7 linked regions of the Macaca mulatta genome follow. The main gene of each other region encodes a partner of the protein of the gene in region 4 in a complex. Links are inferred from orthologs where the notes say so. Each region holds a gene or a part of one and is shown on either strand. Other genes may lie near its edges.

Region 1 (3,500 bases), on a different chromosome or scaffold from region 4:
CTCCTAGGCGAGCCCGTCGTGATTCCTCAGATATCTCTACCACCAGAAGGGTCCATAACAACTCCCCTGACACATCTAGGAGGACTCTTGGCTCTTCAGACACACAGCAACTCAGAAGGGCCCATCATGACTCCCCTGATTTGGCTCCTACTGTCACTCATTCCCTACCCAGAACCAAAAGTGGTAAAGCCCCAGAAAGAGCCTCTAGCAAGACTTCTCCACCTTGGAAGGAGTCAGGAGCCTCCCATTCGTCACTCCCAAAGAACAGCAAATATGAGTATGACCCTGACCTCTCTCCTCCACGAAAAAAGCAAACAAAATCCCATTTTGGAGACAAGAAGCAGTTTGATTCCAAAGGTGAGCATATGACTGTCCATGAGAGGGACATATGTATCCCTGGGAGCTTTCTTTTGGCCCTTTACTTGTTTTATTAGGTATGAGAATGGAGTTTCTTTGGGAAAGTTTTGAAAAGTGAGAGGCTGGGTTTGGGAGAGTTAAAGGATTATGGTGGCAGGAGGAAGGTTTTCATGTATCTTTTTACGTACTCGCCCCACCCCATAGAAAAGTACAATTTATTTGTTGCAGAAGCTTTAGAATGTACAGAAGTGTATAAAGATAAAATGTGACACAAAATTCTGTCATTCAGAGGCAATTAGTGTTGTAGCCAGGACCATCTTAGTCTTTTTTGGTTTGCCTTTTTTATATAGTTGAGTTCTGGCTATGTAGAACATTTGTATTGCATGTGCAATCTTGCCTGCTCTCCTTTCTTAACAGTCTTCCTCAGGCCATAAAAACATCTTTATGTTAGTATTTTTAATAGTGTTTCATTACATAAATTTAACCATTTTCCTAATAAAGAATATTTTTGGTTATTTCTAAGTTTTTGCTTCTGTAATTCTATAATGAACATCCTTGTACATAAACTGTTGTCCCCATTTTGGATTATTTCCTTATCTACTTCTAGATAGATTTCCTGGAAATTCAACTACTTCTATATAGGTTTCTCAGAAAGCTGAGAAGTTGATGTACTGGGTCAGAAGATGTGGCCGTTTTAAAGACTGTCGATACATATTGCAGAATGCTCTTTGGGAGGTGACTTGTGATGCTTATACAGTCACTAGAATTTAGGCCTGTGCAGTTAAATTTTTTATTCCCTCTTTTGTTCCCAGGAACTATTTTAATTTTAAATTAAAGCACTTTGTTATCCTTTAGTCCGAGGATATCAGAATATAATTCTAGGTATTTCTGACTTTTGCCACACTATGGAGAGCTGTCTTTCCATGAGTGGGGTTACTGACATAGAGGAGTGTGTGGAGATCTTACACACCAGTTACAGTCAGTGGTCACTTGGGAATAGAATGCCATCTTCTACCTATTGGTCTTAAAAGTTGTTTCTGACTTTGCTCTTCTCCTATGTCATCCATAGTTATGTTTAGGTTAATGATAATTCTTCATAGAAAAACTAAATAAATATTGTACATTAGCTTGGTAAGTTATTTTCTTAGATTCTTCCAAGGGGATTAAAGAACTCTTTGGCCAGGCATGGTGGCTCAAGCCTGTAATCCTAGCACTTTGGAGGCCGAGGCAGGCGAATCACCTCAGGTCAGGAGTTCAAGACCAGCCTGGCCAACATTGGCGAAACCCCATCTCTACTAAAAACACAAAAATTAGCTGGGCGTGGTGGCACACACCTGTAATTCCAGCTGCTTGGGAGGCAGAGGCACAAGAATTGCTTGAACCCAGGAGGCGGAGATTGCAGTGAGCTGAGATCACGCCACTGCACTCCAGCCTGAGACTCTGTCTCAAAAAATAAAATAAAATAAAATAGAAGGAATTCTTTAATTTCTAGGTTCTTCTCCCAGCCATAGGAGATTTCATGTAAGTTCTTCACCCAGGGGACATCAGAGTCACACAGATTCTTTGCTCCTATCCAGGTGACTGCCAGAAAACAACTGATTCAGACCTTTCTTCTCCACGGCATAAACAAAGTCCAGGGCACCAGGATTCCGATTCAGATCTATCACCTCCACGGAATAGACCTAGACACCGGAGCTCTGATTCTGACCTCTCTCCACCAAGGAGGAGACAGAGGACCAAATCTTCTGATTCTGATCTGTCCCCGCCTCGAAGGAGTCAGCCTGGAAAGAAGGTCAGGATTTTCAGGAGCCATGTCCTTCTTTTTGTGTGACTCTTCTCTCTCAGTTTTATATATGTCCCAGATAAGCCGAGAAGAAGGATGTAGCTCTTAGAAGTGTAGTAAATCTTAGTTAAAAGGACCTTTGGAGGTCTTTCTTTCTGAAGGCAAACTGGCTATAACCCATCCCGGATGGACTTACAGATACCAGATTTCCCAAGTAGCTTCTGCTTTTATAGCCTCTTAATTCTACAATCTCATTTTAACAGGTCCAGAAAAGCTTCCTATTTTCTTAGGAATAAACTGGGGACTGTAATTTGCAGAGTGGAGTTTGGAGCACAAACATTGTGTCAAACGGATCATATGGCAAGATGCTTAATATCTCTAAACCTCAGTTTCTTTATCTGTAAATTGTGGATAATAGTAGTACCTACTGTGTAAGGTTGTTATGATAATTAAGCCAGTGTAAGTAAAACTCTTAGCACAGTGTCTGGGACAAAGTAAGTATCTAGTGTTAGTGATTTACTACTATAAATTGGACTATAGGTCTCTGTATCCAGAACTTAAGAACAGACACTTAAAATATGAAACCACTTTTAGAAATCATGTTGTCCGAAAGGTCAATGTTTTGTTTTGAATTCATGATAAAGCTTGATGAATTAGTCAAAAAACCCAAAAATCCATATGAACCCTGAGTAATTATATTGTAAAGAACATTGGTAGTAGTAAAGGAATCTTATTTGTGAATGGTTAAGAAACAGAATGATAGAGGCTGTGATGTGCATTTTTCTCCCCAGTGCAGACTTATCGGGTAAATCCTGTCTGTAGAAAACTCTGAGAAGACTGGTCCTGGCAGGGTAGACCAGCTTGTTCTTTACCCAGGGAGTGAAATTCTCCTCTTTTAGGGAAAAAAGAGGTCTCTGTTTCAGCTGGACCCCTTGACATTTTATATATCTGTTTAGTTCATGGACAACTTAATATTAGTCCAATTTGGTTGCTTAAGGATATCAGGATATACTGTGTGCTTCATTCGTGGGCTGGTTTGCTATCTTGATACTAAGTGGAAATTAGCAAAAAGTTTTCATTTGGTTAGATCTTTTGTTATTACCCTGAAATATATCCACAATTTAAGGATCTTAGGTTTGCTTGAGTTTGTACTGTAAATGGAATATTTTATCAGTGTTGGTCTCTAATGGAAGGCTTAGTGCTTTATACTGGTTTCTGATCAGATGACCTGAGAGAATCTTCATGTGTGCAGTTTATATTCTGAAAAGTCAGAAATGCAAATGTGTAGCTCTCCCTTTAATATATTGTTAGTTTGTGTTTCTGCTTACTCTTAAACTTGATGGTTTTGATGAAATTTGAT
Region 2 (3,548 bases), on a different chromosome or scaffold from region 4:
TGATAATTACATACTCTGTTCCCACATTATTATAATAATGATTATGCATAATAATAGCTAATATTTATTGAGCACTTTATATGTGCCAGGACCATTCCAAGCAATCCGATATTTTAGCTCAGTTAATCCTCACAACCACCAAATGGAAGTTAGTACAGATAACAACATTGAGACACCTAAAGTTACACTGACAAGCATTTAAGCTGAAATTCAGACCCTTCATGGTCTTGATTCAGGGCCTTAGCAGTCACACAATATGCTATTCAGAGCCTTTTCATCTTTAACATAATTTTTACTTACTTAATTGGATGTGTGTATGTAAATAATATATGATCAACTTTGGGCATAATCTGATTGCATTTCTGTTTAATAGGGTTAATTCCAAGAAGTAGAATTTCTGGGTTGAGGGCATAAGCATTTTTAAATGATTGTCACTGTCTTTTCTCACAAAGCAGAAGTAGCCTTCTAAAAGTATCCAGTTCCTTCGCAGCTCCCACTTCAAGGGTTTTCATTATAATGAGGGCTAGTCTATGGCAGTGAGCTTTCCTGCTTATTTTTTCATCCTCATAGTTGTGTTTATTTTTTTTAGGACCGAGGAAATAACAATGTAATGAGCAATTATGAGGCCTACAAGCCTTCCACAGGAGCTATGGGAGATCGACTAACGGCAATGAAAGCAGCTTTCCAGGTCTGAAATAAGCATTTCATTAAAAGCACTTTCAGCAGTAACTCTTGGGCAATGACAAGAGGGGCTTAGTTTTCCTGGTTGTAGCTGGGCTTACAGGCTTGATGCTAGATTTAGGGTCTTCACGCTGCTTGGATTTTGAATATAAACCTAACAGTAGCTTACTTGGACATGCAAATTGATCTAGAGAACCCCTTGTGCTGGTCTACTTGAGTCACACTCAGGGCCTGGGATTGTTGTCCTGCAGCAGGGTGTGTGTTCCCTCCCTTCCCAACAGCCTGCAGTATTGCCCACCTCCCAGGCGCCCACCTCCAACTCACTTCTGAAGCAAAATGTACTGATAGTCACACTAAGGTGAATCGATAGAATGAGTTCAAGGCAGGTTTTGCTGTCAAACTTAAATTTCAGCGTAAAAATTTTTTTTAAGTTTTCAGAACTTTTTGGTTTTGAATGGTAAATAACAGATAAATGTGCTAAATACACAGATGCTTTATTGTAGCCAATCAGGCTATAAAAGTACATTTCAGAACACTGGGGGTCCATCTCTCCACAGAGATCCACAAGTTTTCCTTTATAGCACAAGAAAAAAAGGGACCATACTGTGGGGCCAGCGGGACACTAAAGTCACAGTGCCAAGATAGCATAGTGTTTCTGTAAACCTCATCATTTGCCAAGTTGTATATTCAGGTTTCTTGAATTTGCTATCTTACCTACTCCTGATGTCTCTTTCTCTTTCAGTCACAGTACAAGAGTCACTTTGTTGCAGCCAGTTTAAGTAATCAGAAGGCTGGAAGCTCTGCTGCTGGGGCAAGTGGGTGGACTAGCGCAGGGAGCTTGAATTCTGTTCCAACTAACTCAGCACAACAGGGCCATAACAGTCCTGACAGCCCTGTTGCCAGTGCCACCAAGGGCATTCCAGGCTTTGGCAATACTGGCAACATCAGTGGTGCCCCTGTGACCTACCCATCTGCTGGAGCCCAGGGAGTCAACAACACAGCTTCAGGGAATAACAGCCGAGAAGGGACTGGGGGCGGCAACGGGAAAAGAGAGAGATATGAGAACCGGGGCAGCAGCCGTCACAGTCACGGAGAGACTGGCAATCGGCATAGCGATGGCCCACGTCATGGAGATGGTGGTCGCCATGGAGATGGATACCGCCACCCAGAAAGCAGCAGCCGTCACACTGATGGCCATCGGCATGGAGAGAACAGACATGGAGGAAGCGCAGGCCGGCATGGGGAGAACCGGGGTGCAAATGACGGTCGGAATGGGGAAAGCAGGAAAGAAGCTTGTAATCGTGAGAGCAAGATGGAGCCCAAGATGGAACCCAAAGTGGACAGCAGCAAGATGGACAAGGTGGACAGCAAGACAGATAAGACAGCTGATGGCTTTGCTGTCCCAGAGCCGCCTAAACGCAAGAAAAGTCGATGGGACAGTTAGAGGGGATGTGCTGAAGTGTGAAATCAGTTGTCCTTAATTTTTAGAAAGATTTCGGTAACTAGGTGTCTCAGGGCTGGGTTGGGGTCCAAAGTGTAAGGACCCCCTGCCCTTAGTGGAGAGCTGGAGCTTGGAGACATTACCCCTTCATCAGAAGGAATTTTCGGATGTTTTCTTGGGAAGCTGCTTTGGTCCTTGGAAGTAGAGCTGGGAAGCTTCCTTTGCCTCTAGGTGAGTTGTCATGAGGGTAAGTTGAGGTTATCTTGGGATAAAGGGCCTTCTAGGGCACAAAACTCACTCTAGGTTTATATTATACGTAGCTTATATTTTTTACTAAGGTGTCACCTTATAAACATCTATAAATCGACTTCTTTTTCTTAGTTGTATGGCCAGGCAGTCCCCTTTTTAGGAGTTGGCTTCTGCAAACTCAATCCATTGAACTAACTGTTGGGGAGCAATTTGGTAGTTGTAGACATTTGCAGGGAAGGGAGATGTCTGATTCTAAATGGGAGTTGATGCTCAGGTCCCCAGCCATGTTTGCGTCCAGCCCTGAGACATGTAGGAAACACCTTCCAGACCCAGGCTCTGAAGATTCCCAGAAGCCACAAGGATTGAAGGGAAAAGGTGATCCTGGTAACTGTTCTAGGATTGCTCCAGGTCTGAGATGGTGTTGCTAAATTTAAAATTAAACAAAAAACCCAACAAGAGCTTTTAAAGTGTCTTCTTCTTCTATTTCATTGTATTTTTTTTAACTTGCCCCAATGATAGAAAAGTCTTTTGCTGAAATGATTTTGATGATTTTTGTTCTATGTTGTTTATAAAAGGAAAAGAAATATACAAACTTTGACTTTTGTGACTTTGTGAAGGTTTCTTTAAGATGTGCATTCCTTTCTGCTTGCTCTCTAGTAAATGTTTTACTACTGGGACCTGTGGATCGTTTGTCATTTCTGTCTCACTATGAGTTGGTACATCTTAGAATAGTGCCGCCCACAGTGTGCGTACTCAGATGTAGGGAAGTGCTTATTAAAACTGTCAGAAAAGACAACTCTTCCATTATCCTGGTTTTATTCAGGAATAGGATGGGGGAAGGCTTAAGGGGCCCACATGTCCAGGTGTAGACTACATCGAGTGTCGCTCCAACACTGAACTTCCCCTTAACAGTTTAAAAAAAGGGTCGTGGGTCTGTCAACACAGTTCAGCAGTGCTTTCATGGGAGACCTTCCTTCAGGCAAGCAGGAGGACATCGTCCTCTCCGCCGAAGACCACCACGGGAGTTCTAGGCACCCCGCCTCACTGTTCTTCAGACAGCTGTGATGTGAGCAGGGGCTGGGCTGGTTATCAAGGGGGCCAGACTGAGCCATGCCACACCCTTCCTCCTAGTCCCCATGCTCTCCTGGTGAGCCTGGCAGCTCTGCTTACTTCCGTT
Region 3 (3,500 bases), on a different chromosome or scaffold from region 4:
AAGCTTTCCTGCTTCTGTGGGCCTTTCTCTTCCAGGTGGGGAGTCGTACTGGGGGAAGCCCTTCAAAGATGAGTTCCGGCCCAACCTCTCTCACACGGGCCGCGGCATCCTCAGCATGGCCAACTCAGGGCCCAACAGCAACAAATCTCAATTGTGAGTCAGCCGGGCTGGCTGGGGTGGCCTGGGAGGTGAGCCAGCACTCCCTGCAGGTTCTCCCTCTTGGCCCTCCCTGAAGGGCGTGCTGGTTCTGAATCAAACCCAGACAGTGTACGGCACACCTAGGCCAAGCATGTGCACCTGTGTTCAAAAGGGGGCCCCCCAGAGTGAGTCAGCAGGGAGAGCTGCCCGCGCCCGGTTTGTCCTCGAGAGACCAGAAGTCATGAATTACTGGAGGTCCAGAAGGGCCTCTTGATAGGGACCAGGCGTTCGTGTGGGTGCCTGTGGCCAGGCAGTGCTGGGGGAGGTCAGCGTGCTGGAGTAGCGTGTGGGAGGGATTGTGCAGGGCATGGGCTGGACAGGGAGAGGCGCCTGGAGAGACACAGGAGGTCTGGGGAATGCGTGGCCCTGGTGCATGTGGGGAGCAGTGTGCAGGCTGGTGGCAGGCGGCAGGGGATGGGGGGCCAGCAGGGCTGTGGGGGCCAGATGCCTGTATTGTGGAAGAACAGAGGTGCCCTTTCCATCCACCTGCCACCCCAGACAGTGGCCTGACTTTATGTTTTAGTCTTTCAATCATTTTCTTCACGTGGGTCCGGTGACTTTCTGGATAAAGCAACTTCTTTTTTTTTTTTTTTTTTTTTTTTTTGAGACGGAGTCTCGCTCTGTCACCCAGGCTGGAGTGCAGTGGCAGGATCTCGGCTCACTGCAAGCTCCGCCTCCCGGGTTTACGCCATTCTCCTGCCTCAGCCTCCCGAGTAGCTGGGACTACAGGCGCCCGCCATCTCGCCCGGCTAGTTTTTTGTATTTTTTAGTAGAGACGGGGTTTCACCGGGTTAGCCAGGATGGTCTCGATCTCCTGACCTCGTGATCCGCCGGTCTCGGCCTCCCAAAGTGCTGGGATTACAGGCTTGAGCCACCGCGCCCGGCCAGCAACTTCTTAAGGACTTTTTATAATTTGTGATACTTTTGTAAATGGACTTTTTTTCCAACTTTTGGGGATCATTGCTCATGGAGAGAAAAACTCCTGTTCATTTTATATCTAGCCACTTTATCACGTTCTCTTATAATTAAAAAAGGGTTTAAGAGTCTTTTGGGGCCGGGCGCGGTGGCTCAAGCCTGTAATCCCAGCACTTTGGGAGGCCGAGACGGGCGGATCACGAGGTCAGGAGATCGAGACCATCCTGGCTAATATGGTGAAACCCCGTCTCTACTAAAAATACAAAAAACTAGCCGGGCGAGGTGGTGGGCGCCTGTAGTCCCAGCTACTCGGGAGGCTGAGGCAGGAGAATGGCGTAAACCTGGGAGGCGGAGCTTGCAGTGAGCTGAGATCCGGCCACTGCACTCCAGCCTGGGCGACAAAGCGAGATTCCGTCTCAAAAAAAAAAAAAAAAAAAAAAAAAAAGAGTCTTTTGGGTTTTCTAGATAGTCACGCTTATCATCAAAAGCTGGCCGCCTCTCTGCCACCCTGGTGTGCTCATCAGTCCTGTCACCGTCATGTCACCGTGGGCCTGATGGGGAGGAGGAAGTGGGCGTCTTGCTTTGCTCCACAGGAATCGCTGTTTTGCCTTCTCAGAACATTTGTTGTTGGGCTGTTTTTTAGGAGGGTGGCTGAGTTTCTAGAGGTTTCTTTCTTAGCATCTGTTACGATGATTCTGTGCTTTTCTGGTCCTCCTGGGATTTGTGGATGTGGCCACTACAAGGCTAGAGTGCATGGGTGTCTGCGTGGCATTCTGGGGTGAACCCTGGCCTCTCGTGGCTTTGCTGTGGCCTTCCACCGGCTCACTGTCTTGTCACACGTGGTCTCAGTTGTGTGGACTGGCTCCAGCAGGTTTTGCTGTGACAAGTGTGGCCCCTGCATGTTGTGAGCAGAGCTGGCTGTGGCTTTGTAGCCTGGAATGGTTAAAATCACAGGGGTGGCTGGGCGTGGTGGCTCACACCTGTAATCCCAGCACTTGGCGAGGCTGAGGTAGGTGGATTGCCTGAGCCCAGGAATTTGAGATGAGCCTGGGCAACATGGCAAAACCCCATCTCTACAAAAAATTTAAAAAATTAGTGGGGCATGGTGGTGTGTGCCTGTAGTCCCAGCTACTTGGGAGGGTGAGGTGGGGGATCCTCTGAGCCTGGGAAGTCAAAGCTGCAGTGAGCTGGGATCGCACCACTGCACTCTATTCTGGGCAGCAGTGAAACCCTGTCTGGAAAAAAAAAATCACACTGGCATCAGCTGTGGTGAACAGCCGGCCAAAGGCAGCTGGCAGCCGTTCGTGCCACTTTCTTGGGGCTTTCATTTCAGGGTTAATGGGTACTTGTTCCCATGAAGCTGATGTTCTCTTGGCCTCTCTGTGCTCACCTCTTTTTTTTTTCTCCTTCCTAATCACACTTTCTGTTCCTCGATCCCTTAATGGTCTTTGAAGGGTTTGTCTGTTTTCACTTCCTGTGGAATTGTTTTCACTCTCTGTCTTTGCTTCTTCATGGTGCTTTTCCTCCTTCTTCACTTTAATCCATGTCTGCTTCTGGAGCCGCGTCTGTCATTTTGAGGGTGCACGTTCCCTCTTCACTGCTTGCTGGCGGTTGGTAGCTTCCCTTTCAGTTTCCTCTTAGCCAAGGATTGCCTAGGACTGTTGGTTATTTTCAAGTAGGTTGGGTGCATGGTTGGTTCTTGTTTGGCAGGGGCCAGGATGGGGAATCATTTTATTATTTTTTATTTCTCTTTGGCTTAACCAGCCTGTGAAACGGCTGACAGATCAGTTGCCACCTTCTCTTCCTTTTTTTTTTTTTGAGATGGAGTTTCACTCTTGTCGCCCAGGCTGGAGTGCAATGGTGGGATCTTGGCTCGCTGCAACCTCCGCCTCCCGGTTCAAGCAGTTCTCCTGGGATTACAGACGCCCACCACAATGCCCAGCTAATTTTTTGTATTTTTAGTAGAGACAGGGTTTCACCATGTTGGCCAGGCTGGTCTCCAACTCCTGACCTCAGGTGATCCACCCATCTCAGCCTCCCAAAGTGCTGAGATTACAGGCTTGAGCCACCATGCTCAGCCTTCTCTTCTTTTTTTTTTTTTTTTTTTTGAGACGGGGTCTCGCTCTGTCGCCCAGGCTGGAGTGCAGTGGCCGGATCTCAGCTCACTGCAAGCTCCGCCTCCTGGGTTTATGCCATTCTCCTGCCTCAGCCTCCCGAGTAGCTGGGACTACAGGCGCCCGCCACCTCGCCCGGCTAGTTTTTTGTATTTTTAGTAGAGACGGGGTTTCACCATGTTAGCCAGGATGGTCTCGATCTCCTGACCTCGTGATCCGCCCGTCTCGGCTTCCCAAAGTGCTGGGATTACAAGCTTGAGCCACCGCATCTGG
Region 4 (2,677 bases):
AAAGAGGAAGGAGAGTTTACATCTGTCTGGAGCAGCCAGAGAAAACTCTAAGGAGATGCATTTGAGCTGCCTTTTTGGGAGATGTATTCACCAAGGGAACAGACATTCCACGTAGAGGGAACAGCTTGTACAAGAAAATGGGGACGGGCACAACAGGTAACACGGAGAAGTACAGTTGTCCCTCAGTATCCGTGAGTGATTTGTTCCAGGACTCCCATGGATACCAAAACTAGAGGATGCTCAAGTCCCTGATATAAAATGGCTTGTATTTGCACATATGCACATTCTCCTGTATAGTTTGTCTCCAGATTATTTAACAATACCTAATACAATGTAAATGCTATGTAAATAGTTGTTATACTGTATTGTTTAGGGAATAATAACCTTAAAAAGTCTACACTTCAGTACAGACTGACTTTTTCCCCAAATATTTTCAATCGGGTCGGTTGAATCCACAAAACCCACTGAATGGAAGGGCCAAGTAGGGTGCAGTGAGGCCTTGGAGGAAGGATATCAAAATAAGTGGCTAGAGGGGAAGGAGGAGCTTGAGGTGGAAGCCGGAATGTGTGGGAATTGGTGCTGTACTTGCTCACCAAGCACCCTGGTTAGAGCTGAAATAACTCTTTTATGCCACAGACTCCTAAAAGACATAGCTGGGACCAGAACTTGTGCCTGCCGACTTCTGGGTAATCCATCCCTGGTTGTGAAGGGATGGCTGTGCTACCATGATAGCTTTGGAAAACACGGAGAGTTTATTTTCGGGGCTGCTTGTAGTCCAGTCCTACTTGGGTTTCCCATTTCCCATCAGCCCCAAGCCACCCACGGATGCTCCCCACCTCCCAGACATCACCCTCCACTAGGTCCCCAGATCACTTTTAAAACGCGACCAGGGGCCTGGCGCAGTGGCTCACGCCTGTAATCCCAGAATTTTGGAAGACCGAGGAGGGAGGATCACGAAATCAGGAGTTCGAGATCAGCCAGGCAAAGACAGTGAAACCCCATCTCTACTAAAAATACAAAAAAAAAAAAAAAAAAAAAAATTGGCCTGGCGTGGTGGTGTGCGCCTGTAATCCCAGCTACTGGAGAGGCTGAGGCAGGAGAATCGCGTGAACCCAGGAGGCGTTAAGTTGCAGTGAATCGAGATCGCGCCATTACACTGCAGTCCCGGCAACAGTGCGAGTCTCTGTCTCAAACAACAAAACGAGACCAGGAGTTCCAGAAGACTACGAGCACGAACTCCCAAGACCACAAGTCCCAGCATGCAAGGCTCCCTGTTGGAAAAGGGCTTCCCATAGCCACCAAGTGGACCATCATGCAACGCTCTCTGACGGGGCGGGGCTCTCTACAGGGGCGACACACTTGTGGCGTCGCCTCGGCAACTCCAATTCCGTGACAGAATGTGCTTCCGCTTCCGCCTTTGAGCCCTATGAGCGAGACTTACGCTACTTAGTCGTCGTGACGCCATTCTTCTGCGACGGCGCGGGCCTGGAGCTTCCGCACGGTGGCCTCACTCCCGCGTGAAACGCCAGAGCGGCGGTTTGTTGTCTGCGTCCTCTGTCCTGGGAACTAAGGGGAAAGCGGCGAGATGACGGACCGCTACACCATCCACAGCCAGCTGGAGCACCTGCAGTCCAAGTACATCGGCACGGGCCACGCCGACACCACCAAGTGGGAGTGGCTGGTGAACCAACACCGCGACTCGTACTGCTCCTACATGGGCCACTTCGACCTTCTCAACTACTTCGCCATTGCAGAGAATGAGAGCAAAGCGCGAGTCCGCTTCAATTTGATGGAGAAGATGCTTCAGCCTTGTGGACCGCCAGCCGACAAGCCCGAGGAGAACTGAGACTCTGCCTTACCACCACTGTGCGGGGCACCTCTCCCAGTGTTCCTCAGGTTGGCCAATCCCTTCGACTATTTCTGCCTCCAAAGGACCGGCTCTCCATGGCTCCTGCGTCTGGTACTTCCGCGTACAGAAGTGCTTGCCCGGGGAATCCCGCCTGACCTGCCTTCATGTGAACCCTTTGGAATAGCACTGGGAGACCAGCAGAACTCCTGAGAACTGTGCTGGTGAAGAGGGCCTAGAGCCGGCAAGCGTTTGAGAAGAGGGCGTGGCGCTGGAATGAGATGGGATTTGGCGTCTCATTTTTGGCTAATTGATTGTCATTGGCTTTTTCCATAAAGTTTAGAAATCATTAAGTCTCTTGGTGTGAACTTCCTGTGTTAGGGTGGAGGGCTCCTGAAAGACCCGAGCGGGAAATGGGTCGGGGGAGGGAGTGCATGCCAGTGTCCATGATCAGGTACTTAAATCCACCCTGTCTACCATTATAATTAATTCCCCGACTGCCACTTCTCCCAAGAGCGTTATTTTCAGGCCCACAATGCCTTCAGTATTGAAGTTTGTAGTTATTGTATCCCATTTTCTTTTTCTCCCGTTTTAAAAGTCTTTGCAGTCTTTGCTGTCATTGTCCTCCTTAGCCTCTTTAAAATGCATCCTTTCTTTTTCTTGGGAATTTGTGGCCATGTCTCCAGAAATGACAAGCTGGCAAGTGAGTTCATCCTTTCTATATTCAACAAATATTTGTTGAGCTCTATGTGACAGGCATTTTCCCATGTTCTTGAGGCTTACATTATGCTGGTGGTGGAGAAAGGAGGTCAAACACTGTAGACGTAATAA
Region 5 (3,500 bases), on a different chromosome or scaffold from region 4:
GAAGACCATTTGTGCAGAGTTTGCCATCCTGCGGATGCTGCTGCAGAGCTCGGAGGGGCGCTGTGTGTACATCACCCCCATGGAGGCCCTGGCAGAGCAGGTATGACATGGCGCTGTATCACGTGAATTTGCCCAGAAGCATTTCATCTGTGATTCCATATGAAGGCTTTTTTAGGCCGGAAATTTGCAGGGTCATTTCTTCAGTTTGTGTATTAAAGAAAAGCCGCCCCAGCGAGGCGCGGTGGCTCACGCCTGTAATCCCAGCACTTTGGGAGGCCGAGGCGGGCAGATCTCCTGAGATCAGGAGTTCGAGACCAGCCTGGCCAACATGGTGAAACCCCGTCTCTACTAAAAATACAAAAACTAGCTGGGTGTGCTGGCACGCGCCTGTAATCCCAGCTACTCGGGAGGCTGAGGCAGGAGAATTGCTTGAACCCGGGAGGCGGAGGTTGCAGTGAGCCAAGATTGCACCACTGCACTCCAGCCTGGGCAACGAGAGTGAGACTTCATCTCAAAAAAAAAAAAAAAGAAAGAAAAGCTGCCCCATCACATAAAGGCTGCTGTGGGATTAGAACGTAGCTTGAGATCAGCAGGTCTCTGTTTGGCATCTCAGGTTTTCCTCAGGTAAGTGAAAGATGCCTGGTATGACCTCATGTTGTTCGGCCTCCCTCCTCTGCCTGCCAGGTATACATGGACTGGTATGAGAAGTTCCAGGACAGGCTCAACAAGAAGGTGGTACTCCTGACGGGAGAGACCAGCACAGACCTGAAGCTGCTAGGCAAAGGGAACATTATCATCAGCACCCCCGAGAAGTGGGACATACTTTCCCGGCGGTGGAAGCAGCGCAAGAACGTGCAGAACATCAACCTCTTCGTGGTGGATGAGGTCCACCTTATCGGGGGCGAGAATGGGGTATGGCGCGACCTTGCAGCACAGATGAGGGACTGGGACTGACCGAGTGACCTTGGCATTGGGCCTTGCATTTGGGTCTGAGGACGGAGGCTCGGGGCTTCTCCCCGGAGGATTCTGCCTGCTGCCCTATTCCAAAGGGACAAGGTCAGCTTTTTTGGTAGTACTTTAGGAAAACAGTATTGTTTAGTGGAGGTTGGCTGCTGTGGAGGAGGTAGAACCAAAAACATGAGAGCTCCTAGTTAGAAGGAAGAACGAGGTCATTTTGAGGCTGCTGGGCTGTTCACAAAGGGGACCTCCAGGCAGAGGATGGGAGCCTCGGCCTGCAGTGACCCTCCCTCCCTCTTTCCAGCCTGTCTTAGAAGTGATCTGCTCCCGAATGCGCTACATCTCCTCCCAGATTGAGCGGCCCATTCGCATTGTGGCACTCAGCTCTTCGCTTTCCAATGCCAAGGATGTGGCCCACTGGCTGGGCTGCAGCGCCACCTCCACCTTCAACTTCCACCCCAATGTGCGTCCCGTCCCTTTGGAGCTGCACATCCAGGTAGGACCCACTCTCCTCATCCGTCTGTGGGGTCCTACGTAGATCCTGAGTGCCCAGGTCTGATAACCTTGGTGTGTTTTCTTCTTCCCGGTCGCCAGGGCTTCAACATCAGCCATACACAAACCCGCCTGCTGTCCATGGCCAAGCCTGTGTACCATGCTGTCACCAAGCACTCGCCCAAGAAGCCTGTCATTGTCTTTGTCCCGTCTCGCAAGCAGACCCGCCTCACTGCCATTGACATCCTCACCACGTGTGCGGCAGACATCCAACGGCAGAGGTGGGCGGGGCCTGGTGTCTGGGGGTTGGGGTTAGGTTAAGTGAGGCTGGCCCACTCCAAGGGTGCCCTCTTTATGAGGGTGGGGTTAGCCCATGTGGCTCGGGGCCAGGTTCTGTACAGCTGGCAGGATGTCTGCCAGGAATTGGACCACTCTGAGCTGAGCCATTGCCTGTGCCGCACAGGTTCTTGCACTGCACCGAGAAGGATCTGATTCCGTACCTGGAGAAGCTGAGTGACAGCACGCTCAAGGAAACGCTGCTGAATGGGGTGGGCTACCTGCATGAGGGGCTCAGTCCCATGGAGCGGCGCCTAGTGGAGCAGCTCTTTAGTTCAGGTGAGTCAGGCCACAGAAGGGGAGCACAGCAAGGGCATCACCAAATGGTGGTGGTAAACCTGAGGGGTGCGGATGGCAGTATTTCTCTACAGCATACTAGACCTTTTCAGAATACTGTTTAGGACTCTTAGCTGTTAACTCATTTGATCCTCCCGAGAGCCTCGTGAGACAGGTGAGACAAACACTGTCCCTACTTGCCAGGTGAGAAAACAGGCAGACACGTCGGGCTGTGCTATTACAGACAGGTGAGAAAACAGTCAGACACGTCGGGCTGTGCTATTACAGACAGGTGAGAAAACAGTCAGACACGTCGGGCTGTGCTATTACAGACAGGTGAGAAAACAGGCAGACACGTCGGGCTGTGCTATTACAGACAGGTGAGAAAACAGGCAGACACGTCGGGCTGTGCTATTACAGACAGGTGAGAAAACAGGCAGACACGTCGGGCTGTGCTATTACAGACAGGTGAGAAAACAGGCAGACACGTCGGGCTGTGCTATTACAGACAGGTGAGAAAACAGTCAGACACGTCGGGCTGTGCTATTACAGACAGGTGAGAAAACAGGCAGACACGTCGGGCTGTGCTATTACAGACAGGTGAGAAAACAGGCAGACACGTCGGGTTGTGCTATTACAGACAGGTGAGAAAACAGGCAGACACGTCGGGCTGTGCTATCTCAGACAGGTGAGAAAACAGGCAGACATGTCGGGTTGTGCTATTTCAGAACCTGGTTTTCTAGAGTCCAGGACCTTTGGCCACTAGACTGCTGATTCTCCATGGATTAGTTCATTCTTGCATTGCTATAAAGAAATACTTGAGACTGGGTCATTTATAAAGAAAGGAGGTTTAATTGACCCACAGTGCTGGAGGCTGTACATGAAGCATGGTGGCATCTGCTTCTGGGAATGCCTCAGGGAAGGCCAACGGGAAGCAGGCATCTTACATGGCAGGAGCCAGGACCGAGAGAGTGGGTGGGGAGGTGCTACACACTTGAACAACCAGATCTTGTGAGAACTCACTCGCTAGACAGTACCAAGGGCGGGTTGTGCTAAACCATTCATGAGAACTCCGCCCCCGTGGGCCAGTTATCTCCCACCAGGTCCCTCCTCCAACACTGGGGACTACAGTTCGATGAGATTTGGTGGAGACACAGATCCAAACCATCTCACCAAGATCGTTAGACTTTAGAGATTAGCACACAGGAGAGCTCTGATTCTCCCTTGGGCACACTCTTGCTGGCCACTGTCCCTTGTTGACCTGTGGCATTTTGTGCAAAGATTTACCTTTTAACACTGCTTAATGGAGCCTCATTGGAGATCCTCCTGCCAGAATCACTTCCTGTTACTCTTTGGCCCTTGAATCTGCCTGTTTGGGGCATGCTTAGAGTGACCTCCGGTTTGCTGGCGTGGCTGAGCCAGCCCATGGCTGCGTGAGT
Region 6 (2,127 bases), on a different chromosome or scaffold from region 4:
TTCCCTAACTTCGATCTACTTTCACAGAGTAGGTTTTTTAAAACACAGATGTGCACACACTTGCTCAAAATGACTCTGTTGCTCCCTTTTACCTACAGAGTAAAACTCAAACTCATTACCATAGCATTCACAGCTCTTTATGAGCTGGCCCCTGCGCCTCATTTCTGTAACTGCATTTTGCTCCTGATTACTGAGTTAACTGGCATTTCCTGGAATATATTGTGCTGTTTGACACACCTGTAATCTTTCTGCTTGGGATGCTTTCTTCCCATGATCTTACCCTCCTGAAGCATTCATCCTTTAGAATTAGATCTTGGCTTAGACAGTATGTTCTCTGCTACTTTCTCAAATCCTATCAACAGAGTCATTACTCCACTTGTTATATACTTCAGCATTACTATTACAGTACCTAAATCATGGGAGAAGCGAGCGTAAGGAGTTGATTGAGTAATTGGTTGGTTTGTGCTGTTGGAATAGGGTCAAGGATAGGGAGCACTTTTTACCACCCTTCTTTTTTTGTTTGTTTGTTTGTTTGTTTGGTGATGGGGTCTCACTCTTTCACTCAGTCTGGAGTGCAGTAGTGTAGTTTTGGCTTATTGTAGCCTTGATCCTCCCATCTCAGCCTCCTGAGTACCTGGGACTACAGGCACACACCACCATGCCTGGCTAATTAAAAGTATTTTTTGATAGAGATGGGTTCTCACTGTGTTGCCCAGGCTGGTCTTGAACTCCTGGGCTCAAGTGATCCACCTAGGCCTCCCGAAGTGCTGGGATTATTGGCATGAGCCACTGTGCCCAGCCAGCCTTATTTTCTGTACCCTTTTTTCTGTATAGTTCTCTTTCTGATGTCACTTTCTTTCTAATTTTGTTCTTTTCTCTATTTTCTTTGCCTTCTCTTTGTCTCTTTTCTTCTTGTGTCTGTTTTATTTTCATAGGGATGTCTCAGATGCAGCTGGCACACCATGGCCCTCATGGCTTAGGACATCCCCACGCTGGACCCCCAGGCTCTGGGGGGCAGCCACCACCCCGACCACCACCTGGAATGCCTCATCCTGGACCTCCTCCAATGGGTATGCCCCCCCGAGGGCCTCCATTCGGATCTCCCATGGGTAAGTCGTCTCTAGCCACCTCCCTCATCTGCACCTATCATGTTCTTACAGCTTCCTGTAGGCACATCCCTTGTCCCGTGCCCTTACTAACTTTTCTTTTACTCCTTGCAGGTCACCCAGGTCCTATGCCTCCGCATGGTATGCGTGGACCTCCTCCACTGATGCCCCCACATGGATACACTGGCCCTCCACGACCCCCACCCTATGGCTACCAGCGGGGGCCTCTCCCTCCACCCAGACCCACTCCCCGGCCACCAGTTCCCCCTCGAGGTCCACTTCGAGGCCCTCTCCCTCAGTAAATTCACATTTTTCCTTCCTCCTGTTACATCTTCCCAATATCTTTTCTATTCCTTGGACCAATCAGAGATGCTGTAGCTCCTTGGGGCTAAGGTACTAATCCCTTTCAGCACCCCCACCCCATTCCCCTTTTTAATGTAATTTTTTCCACAGGAGGTATTTCTTTTTTATGTTGGTCCTGAGTATTTTGCAAATGCACAGAGAAAATAAAACTAAACTGCTTGTTTATTTGTGGTGTTTTCCTTGACAACAGTAACCTTTTTTCTTTAAGAAGAGATGTCAGAGTATCATGAAAAGAATGGTAAGGTAGGAGTAGGAGCAAGGGTGCTCACTCCACATTTTAAAGGCTTGTTCTGTAATGTGCTGTTGCAGTTGCTGAGCTCTGCTGTGCACTAGAGTAATTGTTTCCTTACATAGAGCTTATCTTCTAGTTTGGAAGATAGGGGGACCCAATATCTATAGTGTAGGGTCATCGTGTTTTTTTCTTTTTTTTTTTTTTTTGGAGACATGGTCTTGCTCTGTTGCCTAGGCTGGAGTGCGGTGGCATGATCACAGCTCACTGCACCCCCAACCTCCCAGGGTCAGGTGATTCTCCCACCAAAGCCTCCCAAGTAGCTGGGATCACAGGTGTATGCCATCACACCCAGCTAATTTTTGTATTTTTTGTAGAGGTGAGATTTTGCCATGTTGCCCAGACTGGTTTTGAACTCCTGGGTTCAAG
Region 7 (3,208 bases), on a different chromosome or scaffold from region 4:
ACTATGGAGATGTGTATTTGGTCATTGTTGATGGCTCCCTTGAGATATGTGGTTACAGACCAAGAATGAGTCCAGTCTGTGGAGCTGCCTTTCTTTGGTAACACTTTATAGCTTGACTACACTTAAGCCATATGCAATGGGCAGTGGAAGAGATTTGGGCTTAACCCTGGTGGGGGGTCTGTCAGGTAAGTAAAAGGGCACATGCATGAAATTCTGCACCTTTCATAGGGTCCATGAACACATTATGGTAGATGAACTTAATGCAACAGAAGTTTCAAGAAACACTGTAATATAGGCCAGCATGGAGCAGGGAAACAGATTTTTTTAAATGCTTTTCAGAATTTGATATGTGTACCTAACTTGAACACAATAGTTGAAGCTCTGCTAAAAAGATTGGTAGGGGCTTTCTCATCTCCTTGTACTAGTCATTTCTTCTTGGCCTTTAACAGCATCTACCTCTGATTTTTGTTGTTAGAAGGCATATCAGAATCTCTCAGGAATGCAAGTGCAGCGTTCTTTTTTCTTTATTTAAGTTTATGAAATACATGCTTATAGAAAATTAAAACATAGAAATATGTAAAGCCAGTCGTGAAAGTTCTTCCATAATTCTGCTTCCTAACAAAGCCACTGTTAGTAATGTGGTGTTATATTTTGGAGCATTAAGTTGTTCACAAAAAATGCTTGCACAACTTTTTTTAACTAAGAGTAAAGTTTGGAAATTTTGCCCTAATAATCCAGACATTCCTCACTCACTTAATGAATACTTAGAAACAAATTGCATAAAGGAACCATCTATTAAACCATCCCTTATTGACAGGACATTTGAGTTTTAAGTATTAAAGAACAAAGGTGCAATGAATTTGCTTGTGTACACTTGTCAGATTATTCCCATTAGGCAGTTCCCTAGAAATGAACTTAGTAGGCCAAAAGGTTCAAACAGTTTCAATAAACCCCAGAAAACTACATTCCTAAAGGTTGTGCCAATTATACTCCCACCTATAGCATGCAAGATGGGTAATATAATTGGAAATGCTTATTCAAAATCATAGTGCAATTTTTTAATTTGGAAAATTATAAAAACTGACTGTTCTTATAACTGTGTTTTCTCATTATAGAAGGTGAAGTCTGACAAATCTTCTTGACTAAAGGGGAATCAGGATCCCAGGGCAAGATTTATAAAACTTGTATTTATCAAAAAGAGGCATTAGAAACTTTAAAACTTCTCTTTAAAATCTCTACAAGATTGCAGCCCTTGCTACAGTTTTAAACAGCTGCACTGGTATCTCCAGTTATTTTCCCCAAGTTTCAATGGCAGTATTGGTATCTTACTAGTTGTGGAATAAAATCCAAATTTATATGAGCTTTCCTCACAACAAGCCAGCTTTACTCTCCATTATTCAACAGTAGCAGAAAATTCTTTGTCCCAGGACACACCGCACACTTTCTTCTGCCTGGTTTCATCGCTTCATGCCTTATCTCTTTTCCTTCTTTGTCCTCCTTCACCTCAAAGTCATCTCCAATGCCACTTACTCTATGAAGTCTTCCACAATCCTTCCTGGGAAAAATAAATGATCTCATCCCCACTTCTGTTCCCCCAGCATTTCACCTGCACCTCCATTACAGAATTTCTATACTAAGCTACCAAACTGGAAGTCTTAGAGGATAGACACATCTTACTTGTCTATTTCCTGAACGGTATCTAGTGCAGAACTTTGTAGAACATACACTCAAAAACCGTTTTTGGAATAAACATATATAAGTTAAGACTTTAAATCTTTTAATCTCAAATTATTAGTCACAGATATTAATTTTTAAAGGATTAAAAAAAAAAACCTACTGCTCCCTCAAATGTCCTATTATAATAATCGGTTTCATACATTTTTTTAAAAAAGGGGGTTGTTCTAATAAGACTGTCAAAATATTACATCTAGAATAGTTACAGTCAATAAACCTGCATTTACTTGATATCTGCATCTTCCTAGTATCACAAATTGTTTTAGAAATAAAAACACAAGGGTAGGGGACAGGGGACAGTTTATTGTAAAATATGAAGCAGCAATGATTGAAGCAAGTGAATTTCTCCTTTATATTCCCAGCCAGAGCACAAAATGACTGGGTATCCTCATCAACGCCAAGCTTTTTTTTTTTTTTAAAAAAAAAAAAAAAAGAAAATTCCACATTCATTAAAATCTCTTTCTCTTGATAATTTCTGGTTTCCAGCTGACTGGATGAGTTTCTTCTGTCTAAAAGTAGAAAAGCAAGTTAAAATAAAGTATTATTAGTTTGCTTCATGTCTAACAGGCTTCCTTTCTAACAGAAATAAGGTATCTCCTCTAACATTATTCATTGGCATTATATACTTAGTAGTTCTTTGACAATTTTAGGAAGAGTTGATAAACTTCTGGCATTATCTAAGTCTAATAACAGATGGATGGATTCATTATGTTTAGTTTGCAGTTTTTAATCTAAAATAACATTTCTATTTGGATCTACTAATACCAAAGCTTATGATTCTCAAATGAATTTGCATAGCAATCTATTTATTTGCTGTTATTCTTGGTGCAACATTTCCCAGCAACTATAACAAAGAAAGCTGGGATAAAATTAAAACCATCCATGAATTCACTGGCATCAGTGAAATAATATAGAAATCTATAAATAGACACTATTCAAGAAAACAAATATCTTAAATACTATAAAGATTATTTTTCCTTCTGATAAAATTAAATGAGAACACAGTGCCCAATTGGTATAGCTGCTTTACTTAACAAATGTGAAACAGAGAACTTACGGCTGTGTCATCCTCTCTGTATACTTTAATGGTTTTATCAGCTTCAGCTGTTAGTAATCGACTTTCAGACTGATCAAAAGCACAAGCAAATATTCCCGATTCACTGTCCAAAGAGCCAGGTTGCACAGCTGCATGAACTCTCTGAAAATTGTAGCCAGTTCTCCAGTCCCAAAGATGCATGGTGCCATTGTCAGCTTAAAGGGAAAAATCTAGTTACACCTGGTATCCCTTCAGCAGTACAGCTTGACAAACATTTATTAAGCATCATTAGCCCAAGCATGGCAATACTTCGGTTATAAAAATACATAAGACACAGGCACTCAATCTTCTCCTAATATTGGCTTTTCTACTTTCATTTGTGCTGGGTTCAGAATTTATAGATCTTAAAAAGCACCTCAAAATCTAACATCCAATTCC

What was found.
Region 1: SF3B5 (region 4) and BUD13 share a complex: the UniProt entries of both Homo sapiens proteins name them as parts of the minor spliceosome. The link is inferred for Macaca mulatta from reciprocal best matches to the Homo sapiens genes SF3B5 and BUD13.
Region 2: the proteins of SF3B5 (region 4) and DDX42 are in contact, whole or in part, in a cryo-EM structure (PDB 7EVN), measured with the Homo sapiens proteins. The link is inferred for Macaca mulatta from reciprocal best matches to the Homo sapiens genes SF3B5 and DDX42. Residues at the interface, in NP_112577.1 of Homo sapiens: Arg4, Tyr5, Thr6, Ser9, Gln10, His13, Leu14; in NP_031398.2 of Homo sapiens: Asp156, Ala159, Tyr160, Phe161, Tyr163, Met164, Asn167.
Region 3: SF3B5 (region 4) and PPIL2 share a complex: the UniProt entries of both Homo sapiens proteins name them as parts of the minor spliceosome. The link is inferred for Macaca mulatta from reciprocal best matches to the Homo sapiens genes SF3B5 and PPIL2.
Region 5: SF3B5 (region 4) and SNRNP200 share a complex: the UniProt entries of both Homo sapiens proteins name them as parts of the minor spliceosome. The link is inferred for Macaca mulatta from reciprocal best matches to the Homo sapiens genes SF3B5 and SNRNP200.
Region 6: SF3B5 (region 4) and SF3B4 share a complex: the UniProt entries of both Homo sapiens proteins name them as parts of the SF3B subcomplex of the 17S U2 SnRNP complex. The link is inferred for Macaca mulatta from reciprocal best matches to the Homo sapiens genes SF3B5 and SF3B4.
Region 7: SF3B5 (region 4) and PLRG1 share a complex: the UniProt entries of both Homo sapiens proteins name them as parts of the minor spliceosome. The link is inferred for Macaca mulatta from reciprocal best matches to the Homo sapiens genes SF3B5 and PLRG1.

What each region holds. Positions count from the first base shown.
Region 1 is NC_133419.1:117,435,031-117,438,530, reverse strand, and holds part of BUD13 (BUD13 homolog), read left to right. Parts: coding exon 1-357; intron 358-1,934; coding exon 1,935-2,149; intron 2,150-3,500. UniProt on the Homo sapiens protein: Involved in pre-mRNA splicing as component of the activated spliceosome. As a component of the minor spliceosome, involved in the splicing of U12-type introns in pre-mRNAs.
Region 2 is NC_133421.1:73,613,126-73,616,673, forward strand, and holds the end of DDX42 (ATP-dependent RNA helicase DDX42), read left to right. Parts: intron 1-589; coding exon 590-688; intron 689-1,423; coding exon 1,424-2,125; 3' UTR 2,126-3,048; downstream 3,049-3,548. Other genes in the region: pre-rRNA 2'-O-ribose RNA methyltransferase FTSJ3, read right to left, coding at 3,538-3,548. UniProt on the Homo sapiens protein: ATP-dependent RNA helicase that binds to partially double-stranded RNAs (dsRNAs) in order to unwind RNA secondary structures. Unwinding is promoted in the presence of single-strand binding proteins.
Region 3 is NC_133415.1:31,306,111-31,309,610, reverse strand, and holds part of PPIL2 (RING-type E3 ubiquitin-protein ligase PPIL2), read left to right. Parts: intron 1-35; coding exon 36-153; intron 154-3,500. UniProt on the Homo sapiens protein: Has a ubiquitin-protein ligase activity acting as an E3 ubiquitin protein ligase or as an ubiquitin-ubiquitin ligase promoting elongation of ubiquitin chains on substrates.
Region 4 is NC_133409.1:49,348,244-49,350,920, reverse strand, and holds SF3B5 (splicing factor 3B subunit 5), read left to right. Parts: upstream 1-1,484; 5' UTR 1,485-1,585; coding exon 1,586-1,846; 3' UTR 1,847-2,177; downstream 2,178-2,677. UniProt on the Homo sapiens protein: Component of the 17S U2 SnRNP complex of the spliceosome, a large ribonucleoprotein complex that removes introns from transcribed pre-mRNAs.
Region 5 is NC_133418.1:5,017,829-5,021,328, reverse strand, and holds part of SNRNP200 (U5 small nuclear ribonucleoprotein 200 kDa helicase), read left to right. Parts: coding exon 1-100; intron 101-684; coding exon 685-912; intron 913-1,261; coding exon 1,262-1,453; intron 1,454-1,551; coding exon 1,552-1,730; intron 1,731-1,912; coding exon 1,913-2,064; intron 2,065-3,500. UniProt on the Homo sapiens protein: Catalyzes the ATP-dependent unwinding of U4/U6 RNA duplices, an essential step in the assembly of a catalytically active spliceosome. Plays a role in pre-mRNA splicing as a core component of precatalytic, catalytic and postcatalytic spliceosomal complexes.
Region 6 is NC_133406.1:117,231,368-117,233,494, forward strand, and holds the end of SF3B4 (splicing factor 3B subunit 4), read left to right. Parts: intron 1-935; coding exon 936-1,109; intron 1,110-1,220; coding exon 1,221-1,408; 3' UTR 1,409-1,627; downstream 1,628-2,127. UniProt on the Homo sapiens protein: Component of the 17S U2 SnRNP complex of the spliceosome, a large ribonucleoprotein complex that removes introns from transcribed pre-mRNAs.
Region 7 is NC_133410.1:163,129,965-163,133,172, forward strand, and holds the end of PLRG1 (pleiotropic regulator 1), read right to left. Parts: intron 2,986-3,208; coding exon 2,792-2,985; intron 2,244-2,791; coding exon 2,184-2,243; 3' UTR 501-2,183; downstream 1-500. UniProt on the Homo sapiens protein: Involved in pre-mRNA splicing as component of the spliceosome. Component of the PRP19-CDC5L complex that forms an integral part of the spliceosome and is required for activating pre-mRNA splicing.